2 linked regions of the Oryctolagus cuniculus genome follow. The main gene of each other region encodes a partner of the protein of the gene in region 2 in a complex. Links are inferred from orthologs where the notes say so. Each region holds a gene or a part of one and is shown on either strand. Other genes may lie near its edges.

The links.
Region 1: ARPC2 (region 2) and ARPC5 share a complex: the UniProt entries of both Homo sapiens proteins name them as parts of the arp2/3 complex. The link is inferred for Oryctolagus cuniculus from reciprocal best matches to the Homo sapiens genes ARPC2 and ARPC5.

What each region holds. Positions count from the first base shown.
Region 1 is NC_091444.1:1,522,856-1,527,296, forward strand, and holds the start of ARPC5 (actin-related protein 2/3 complex subunit 5), read right to left. Parts: upstream 2,894-4,441; 5' UTR 2,793-2,893; coding exon 2,650-2,792; intron 1,699-2,649; coding exon 1,617-1,698; intron 1-1,616. UniProt on the Homo sapiens protein: Component of the Arp2/3 complex, a multiprotein complex that mediates actin polymerization upon stimulation by nucleation-promoting factor (NPF).
Region 2 is NC_091434.1:21,132,402-21,136,992, reverse strand, and holds the start of ARPC2 (actin-related protein 2/3 complex subunit 2), read left to right. Parts: upstream 1-1,582; 5' UTR 1,583-1,765; intron 1,766-1,982; 5' UTR 1,983-1,990; coding exon 1,991-2,064; intron 2,065-2,071; exon of another isoform or gene 2,072-3,413; intron 3,414-3,527; exon of another isoform or gene 3,528-4,310; intron 4,311-4,591. UniProt on the Homo sapiens protein: Actin-binding component of the Arp2/3 complex, a multiprotein complex that mediates actin polymerization upon stimulation by nucleation-promoting factor (NPF).

The sequences.
Region 1 (4,441 bases), on a different chromosome or scaffold from region 2:
CTGTCACACAGGACATCTAAGGTCACCTCCTCCCCTGTCACACACAGCACATCTAAGGTCACCTCCTCCCCTGTCACACACAGCACATCTAAGGTCACCTCCCCTGTCACACACAGCACATCTAAGGTCACCTCCTCCCGTCACACACAGGGACTCCTAAGGAGCGCCCGCCTCCCCTGTCACACAAAGCGGCCCCTGGGGCCGCCTCGCGTCCGGGTTCTTACAGGACGTTTCTCCCGCCTACTGCTCCCTGCAGCTCGGCCCGTGCAGCTGCCCCACTCACACAGCCATCTTCATCAGCTACAAGCTGCCGCCCCCAGGCCGTGATGAAACCACCCACACGAAAGCAGAAGGTGTCGAAACGGAAATTTCAGTAATGCTCCCGGCAACTTCTAAACCCAAAGCAACGCTTCCCCTTAAAAAAACCGTCGCCTCGACAATTCACATGCATCTACCTGTTCCTGCCAACTTTCATTTAATTAGGGAGACTCCTGAGGCTCTGAGTAGCCACCGCCCTGGGGGTGATGCGCTGGACTTGGTTCTAACCACTAAGCACCCGAGAGACCGGTTCTTATTTAGTGAAACACGGCTGCAGGGGACGGAAGACGCAAAGGGACACGGCTGCAGCCAGCAATTCACTCTGGAGTCCATTCCAAGGATCAGCCACGAGAATGTGCTCAGCTGGGAACTTCACCAGGGAAGAGCCACTCCATCCAGGTATGTGACAAGAGGAGACTAGGTGCGTAGGTTCTGCAGCGCAGAGCTGGTCAACGCTACAGAAACAAACCTGCTGCTAAGGAAAACACTCACGTCCATCGCTACACAGAGGAGCGAAGCTATAAAGCTTCTCCTCGAAAAAACACTCACAGAAAAATCCTATGAACATAGGGTAGCCCCAGAAGGTAGTCACTTTTACCACTGCCTGGCTTCTGCTGAATATTCATATAACTAAGCAAGAGAGAGACGGAGAGAGGGGCACAGAGAGAAGTCCCATCTGCTGGCACTGGGGTGGGACAAAGCCAGGCGCTGTGGCCATCAGCGGCCTCCTAGGGTGACCGTCAGCAGGAGCCAGGGCCTGGACGTTGACAGCTAAGTGCCGCGCCTGGCCTATGGAACCTGTTCGTTTTTGTGCCAGTTTTTTGTCTCAAAGCCTTTGCCTAGATCCAGCCCGAGGGCCCTCTGAACGCCACAGGAATGGTTCCCCCCCCCCACGCAGAACTTCCCGCGTCCAGAACACGCGTTCTCCGAAGTCGGCCAGGGTGCTGTTTTCTTAAATCTTCTTTTTCTTTTTTTAAAAAGGTCTATTTGTTTGAAAGGCAGGGAGAGAGGGAGAGAGATCTTCCACCCGCTGGCTCCCTCCCCGAATGGCGGCAAGAGCCGCAGCTGGACCCATCTGAAGCCGGAGCTTCTCCCTGGTCTCCCGTGTGGGAGCAGGGGCCCAAGCCCTGGGGCCACCCTCTGCGCTGGGCCCTCAGCAGGGGGCTGGACGGAAGTGGAGCAGCGGGCTGCTGGGCTGGCCGCCGTTTCCAGCCCCATCAAAGCGCGCCCTGAGCCCTCCTGTGTCGGACGGTCCCCAGCTGGCCGGCCGGTTGTGTGGCCGGGTGGGTGGCACTCACCTTCACCGCCTGGCTCCTGGTGTTGATGGGAGGGTTCTTCAGCGCCGCCTGCAGGGCGGCTGTCATGTTCCCTGTGCTGGCGGTTAAGGGGCAACAGCGGGGGCAGCCGGGGGCAGCCGAGGGCAGCGGCCAGCCCCTGGGACCGGTGCTTCTCGGGACTCAGAAACGCCCTCGGGGTGCCGACCAAAGGTAACAGCGCACTGGGGGGCTATTTTTGGTTCGCACCATCAGAGATCGCCTGGTAACGCTGCCCTCACGGGACACCTTCGGCAGACTGCAGAGGTGCCGAGACCCGAAACGCACGTCAGGATCCCACGCCCTCAGGTCTCCGGGAAGCCGCCATCTCCCGCGGCGCTACGTGGGCGCACAAAGACACACCTCGGCCTCGCTGCGCGGCGACGCCCCGGCTCTCGGGTGGACGGTGGACGGCTCCATTTCCTGGAGGCCACACCTAGCAGTCCGCGAAGGCGCCAGGGAGCAGGGAGCAGGCAAGGAAGCGGGCCAATCAGGCCGGCGGCAGGCACAGCCATTCCCCTAAAAGGAGAAGCCCCGGCCGCCGCCCCTCCCTCGCCATCGCTGCAGCCGGCCTCTGGCTTCCGGGGCCCACCCAGCGGGCCCACGGCGCCGCGGGGTCCAGGCTGCACAGCCCCAGGCCCTCACACGGCCGCCACGGCAGGACGCGGGCCCGAGCGGTCCCCACGCACCGCCGCGGGGCGCGGACAGCCCGAGCACGCGGGCGCCGCGGCGGCTCCTGCCAGCGCCCCCGTGTCCCCCACGGATCCGGTGCAAACGCGGACCCGGTCACAGCTGCTCAGACACGCCCAGGGCAGCAGGCACCGCCGGACAGCGGCTTCCCGCGAACGCCCGGCCCGCACTCCCGGGGCTCCACGCACTCCCGGGGCTCCACCTACTCCCGGGGCTCCGCGCACTCCCAGAGACTCCACGCACTCCCGGGGGCTCGGCGTCCGCCTGCCGGCTCCGCGCACTCCCGGGGCTCCACGCACACCCACGCACACCCCCGCCGCAAGGATATTGCCGCAGGCACGAGTCCACCTCGCCCTCGTCCGGCCCCGCCTGGCCGTCGCCGCCGTCTTCCTCGTCCACGAACTTGTTCTCGTCGTACTCATCCACGTCCACCTTCCGGAACCGCGCCGACGACACCGTGTTCTTCGACATCGCCGCCGCCCGCCGCCCTCGAGCCTCCGCGGCGCCCCCCCGACCGCTGCGAGCCGCCGCTGCCGACTCACTTCCCGCTTCCGCCCCGGGGCGTGGCCGGCCGCGCGGCTCGGGGGCTCCGCGCATGCGCGAGGCCGGCGCCCGCCCCCTCGGCGCGCAGGCGCGACTCTCCGCCGCGGGGCGGGGCGCGGCGGGCGGTGGCGAGACGCGATTGGGCGCTCGCGCGCGTCACGTGACGCGGGTTCCCTTAGAAACGCGGGCCTGCGGTCCAGCCTAACGGGTCTCAGGTGGGCGGCGGCGGGGTAGCCGGGGCTTTCCAGTCAGCTGTCTCCGCGGCCCCGCGTGAGGGCCGGGCGCGCTGCGGCCCTCTTGTCGGCAGGACCGAGGGGCGGAGGGATGCGTGTCCGGGCGCCCGCATCCTCCCGCGCCTCCCGGACGCCGCCGGGGCCGCTCCCCGGGCTGCAGTCGCCGCGCGGCCCGCGGGGTCCCCGGACTGAGCCGCACGCGCGGCCGCCCCGCGAGCGGACCCCGACCCACTCGGCCTCCGTCGGTCGGCGGCGGGGCAGGGGCCGGGCTGGGCGGCAGAGCCGGGGGTGAGCCTGCGGGGCTCGCGGTGCGGGCGTTCGGGGCGGGGGCGCGTGGGCTCCCGGCGCTGAGGGGACCCGGCCCCGCCACTCGTGTTTTTGGGGCGCGTTTCGGGACCTCGGAGGGCGGAGCGCGCCCTGCGTGTGCGCCTCCCGTCTCGCGGCCGGGCCCTCCCACTCATTACCCGATGCCTCCTGGAGCAGACGCGCCACGCGTGTGGAAAACGCGTGTTACCCGTGACGCCGGCCTCGCGCCCCCCCCCCCCCCACGCGGAGCCCGCACGCAGAAGGTGCCCAGCGCGTGCGTGGTGCGGCGGGCAGCGCGGGGAGAGAGAGGGGCGCAGAGGCCGGGGGAGACCTACGCGGGTACTCTCGGCCCCTCGCAGAGCTCCTGGGCAGCGGTGCGGGGCAGTAGCCTGAGATCCACGCCTAGCCAGAGTCCCGCACACAGCTCACGGAGGCTGCGTGTGACAGGAGACCCGCGCGTGGGCTTCAAAGCCTCCTTGCAGTAAAATCAGTGTTTTCCTATTCCCACGGACTTGGCCAAGTTCTGCGCGCAAGAAAGCTGGGGAATGGGAGGGGGGTGGCGTTTGAGTGAGGAGTCGGCCAGCTGGCCTTTTCCCCCCAGGGCTGTCACCGGCTACCCAGGTGACACAGTGGGCACTGCGGGCCACCTGCTGGCCTTGTTGCTGCGGCGACTGGCGTTATGTAAGAACGGTGTATTTTGGTGTTTCCTGCTGACTTTAGCGCAGGCATAGGCAGTGCTTCTTCAGATGCCCAAGCTGACTGTACTTTTTTCTTTTTCATCAAGATTTTCCGCAAGAGGAAACTGAACCTGGGAGGCGCTGCCGGGTGGAAATGGCAGGGAAGATGGCGGAGCCGGGGCCTCCCGCGTCCTGCGCGCCTGTCCCTCCAGGGGGTCTCGCTTAGGTAATCCTTGGAGACTGGGGCCGTGTTGGGTGCACGTCGGCCTGAGGAGCAGCCGGGGGGATGTAGGGCGGCCTCTGGAATTGTTTGCCGATCGTGGGCTCAGCACTGCGCTCTGGAATGGGTCGAGCGTTACCA
Region 2 (4,591 bases):
TCTTTTTCTCTCTCAATTAAAGTGAAAATAAATTTTTAAAAAAGAGTTGCGAATATTGCTTCTGAAGAGTGGGTGAGAATTATTTTTCCATTACAAACTTTATAGTATTGTAGGTATACATATGAGGGGTCTTCCCAAAGCTTATGGATATGCCATGCATGGATTTTAATATTTTTGCACAAAAATAAATTTATTTTTTAATTTCACTTTTCCATGAATTTTTTGGAGTCCCCTCATATTTTTAAACTATTTGTATGAATTATTTTAGCTCAACAGAACTTAATGTTGAAACAGCAGCATATAGACGGAGGATGGCATCTACAGTACCCTGAAGTTTATCCAAGGCCTGTACGTAAAAAAAATCTATTTTTAGAGACCAGCATTGTGGTATAGTGAGAAGAGGGTAAAGCCACAGTTTGAGACACCAGTATCCCATACGGGCACTGGTTCAAGTCCCATCTGCTCCGCTGTCCATCCAGCTCCCTGCTAATGTTCCTGGGGAAAAAGCAGAAGATGGCCCAAGTCCTTGGACCCCTGCACCCTCGTGGGAGACCCAGATGAAGCTCCTGGCACCTGGCTTCAGCCTGGCCCAGCCCTCGCTGTTGTGGCCATTTGGGGAGTGAACAAGCAGATGGAAAATCTCTCTCTCTCAAACTGTCTTTCAAATTAATAAACAAATCTGTAAAAAGAAATCTATTTTTAAAAGCTGTCTACCCCTTGACGATAAAGGCTGGATCTTTGCTCATTTTTTGGATCCAGTCCCGTCCCTACCCCACCCCACTCACCCCACCCCGCACCAGCACATAACTGAAAAAAACCATTGATGTAGAAGGGACTCAACTAAGCTTGTTACACTTCCTCTGGAGGAGGACAAATGCAAATCAAGGCACACAGGCAGAAGGTGCAGACGTGGTGTAAGGATCAGTTCAGATTCCGCAGGCAGATGAGTAGGAGCTATGTCTCCCGCGGGGGCACTGAAAGGTGAGGGTTGGAGGCAGAGAAAATTATGTTCTGCGCATCCAGGGGCAGCCCCTGGCACGGAAATGGAGGCAGCACAGGGGTCCAGGGAGGCCCATCTGAACTGCCTGTTAACCGAGGTGACTATGCATCCCTTTCCTTCGGTGCCTTTAAACAACATAACTGATCATTTGTTCATTGTGTTTCCTTTACCACAGTATAAGCTCCACGAGGGCAGGACCCTGTCTACCGTGTTCACTTCCGCATTCGCGGCTCAGGACAAGAGCCCACCATCTGTTGGGGAAATGAACGCACGATGGTGCGACGGACTGCCACCCGTCTGGAATGAGGAGGAGCCTCCACGACGCACAGGCCGACAGCAAAGAATCCTGCCGCGAGATAAGAGCGAGCTTCTTGCAGGACCCCTGACATGACAGAACCGGAAGAGTGGATTTGGAACTCTGGGACAAGCGGGAGGCAAGTTCCGGGAAGGACCGCTCGGTGGCTCGCGGAGACTTGATGGGGCGGGGGTGGGGCGCTTCAGTGGGAAAGTAAAGCGGTAGGAGGCCTTGCGCATGCGCAAGTGTGACCGCCTCGCCCCACCCCGGGCGCGCCTGCGTGCGCGTGCACGAGGGAGCCGGAGCGGAAATGGCGCCGCGGGGCCGCGCGTCCGGGCGGCGAGCGGAAGTGGGTGTGAGAGCGGAAGTGGCCGGCTAGAGCCGGGGGCTGGGCGGGGACCGGGCTTGTCGGTGAGGCGGCAGCGGTGGCGGCGGCGGCTCGGCAGGCGGGTTGAGGCTTCTGGGGCCAGGTCTGTCGGGTGGGTGGGTGTCTCCACAGTCCGTGCGTGCGCGGGCCGGCGCGCGTCCTCCCCTTCTCTCCACCCCGGCCCCTCTCCCCTCTCCCCTTCTCCCGTCACCTACCCCACCCAGCCCCCCTTCTCAGGGGGCACAGGGCCGCTCCCTGCGTCCTTTCCTCCTTTACCCACCCTGACCCGCCCTTGTTTCTCCTTCCCCTGTCCGGGGCAGCCGCCGCCATGATCCTGCTGGAGGTGAACAACCGCATCATCGAGGAGACGCTCGCTCTCAAGTTCGAGAACGCGGCCGCCGGGTGAGCGCGCGCCCCGGGGCTGGGGTTTGGGGCGGCGTGGAAGGCAGAGTTGACCCCCGCTAGTCCCCGGTGCTGTCCAGCTTCCCCCCCGGGCCTGGCGGAGGGAGTTGGGAGGCCTGGCAGTGTGTAGGGGCTGCCCCGGCGGAGAGACGTGGGAGGCGATTGGGCGCGGCGGGTGAGGGGCAGGGATGCGTGGGGTGAGGCTCGGAGGAGGGATGCGGAAGCTGCGAGTGGACCGGAGTGTGCGTGCCGAGGGCCAGGGGACCTGTGGGACGTGAGGGCAGCTCGGGCCGGAACTGGAGCCCGAGGAGCCCACTGCCCTCCGTGTCCCCGTCATTGTTCTGAACCCGGAGAGAGCCGGTTTGCGACTGGGCTGGAAGGAGTTTTCAGGAATTCCCAGGACTGGAGGAGGGAAGAAGATGCAAGCCTAGATCGCCACCGGCGTTCTCCATCCCGCCCCCACCCCTAAAGGGAGCCCGAGGGGGGACGGAAAGCAGACCCAGCCTTGCAGCCATCTCCCTAGCTTCCCTTCCCGAACCCTCCTGCGAGCGACAGGGGCCGTTCTGTTACACATGTCTCAAGCACAGCTAATAGTCCTGCACCCACACCCTTTCCTTATCTCTTCCAAGAGTGTCGGGCTCTCTCTGCAGCCTGCACCCCGCACACCCCGCAGCCTTTATCTGCCTGTTGGCCTTTTAAATTCTCATACAAGACCCCTGGGCTGTGATTTCTTCTGTGGCAATCCTTGGCCGGTTACACACTTCACTGCTTCCAGAATCTATGAAGTTCTTAGATAACCTCTTTTTTACCGTTGTCTGTGAAAGACGGGCTTTGATTTCCAAGGCAGCCTTCACTGTCAGAGAGCAGAATCAGTGGAAGACGATCAGCCGCCTCCCCCAGAGCACCTTTAAAACATGAGCCAAGGACTTGAATTCTAGCTTCGAATTTTTGGTGGCCTGTGGTCAGTCCCTTTGCCTCATTTCCGCATCCGGGACGATGGGGCTTCACATCTTGGTTGCACAGTTGAGGAAATAAGTACAAACTCTTTTTGGTGAACTGGGAACCAGTAATAGGAAAGTAAATGCTTGGAGAGCCACAGATGGGACAGGATTGGTGGAAGGGAAATTTAAGTGGTCATAATGAACTTGTGACTTGGGAGGTTTTTTGTTTGTTTGTTTTTTGTTTTTTTTTTTGTTTGTTTTTTGAGTACTGGCTCACTGCTTAAATTGAATGGATTGTGGTTCCCATCTCTTTTTTGTAAGAACACGAACTACTTTCCTTGGAAGCAGTGCATACAGTGAGCTGAACGGTTTCCTGCCAGGGCCTGCCTGCAGTTGCTGATATTTCAGGTTAACTCAGTTCTTACTCTCAGCCCCTCTTACCAGTTCTTTGCATTTTAAATACTCAAGTGACTCAGTCCGGGATCTCATTTTGGGTGATTGCTCTGTGCTTTTTCTGAGCAGTGCACTGCACATAGGAGGAAGTTGACTTCACTTCTGCATTTTCACAACTGATCTCAATGCATTCTCAAGTCCAGACTGGCCAGGAATGAGACCTGGGTGGTTATGAGCTGATCTGCAAGATAAATGGCTGTGTGTCTGCAAGTAGAAACATGCCTTTTAGTGTAAGAGTACTTTCACATCTATTTGTGTATTAATAACCTGTGATTCCAAAATGTGTGGCCCATTCAGAACTTCAGTTCTTTCTTATAATTATTTTCAAAATAGCAGTTAATCATTTCAGAGGGATTAAAATGGCCCTCAATTTGGAAGGCATAGATTAGAGCTTGCAGGACTTTTTTAATAGACAGACATTGGTGGTGAGGTTGTATGGGGGCAAGGGTTGGGGTTGGCTTTTATTCCAGCCCATCTCCCCTTTGAGATCTGGCTTTCAATACAAGAGCCCAGACCATTCTGTGGAAAGTTTCGTTGAATCTTTTGAAAAGAGGCCGAGATACTCTGTGATACTCATGCCTAGGAGGTCGGGCATTCCTGGGGTTGCAAGTACAACGCCAGCAGAACACGGTGCAGCAGAGTGTGTTCCCAGGCACCCGTAAGAGGAGGCAGCAACGAAGCTGTGTTTGTCAGGGTGCTGCCCACGAGCTCAGCCCAGGGTGGCGGGGGCGACCATCATGAACACATGGGATTCTACCAGCGCTCAGCACCAGGCAGCAACTGATGCGGCGGGAGGTCTTTCTAAGAGAGCACATTAGCAACAGAGCTAAGAGGTGCAGACATTAAAGAAAGGTAATAGCTTGGAGGAGAGCCGTGGGGGATTTAAAAGGCTTTGCCATTGTGGGAACCTGCTGAAAGAGGTCTGTTCCACCTGTTTTTTATGCTTCTCAGAAGAAACCAGTTGGGGAAGTTGCAGCCGGGAGAAGGCTTGTCTATAGTTCGTCTTCCAACCCTGCCACATCCCGTGTGATAGCCACTAGCTACATGTGGCTGGTTGTGTGGAAATACAAATGACGGTGAAATCAAACTGAGTTCTTACACAGCAGCCCCGTTTCGAATGCTCAGTTGCCACG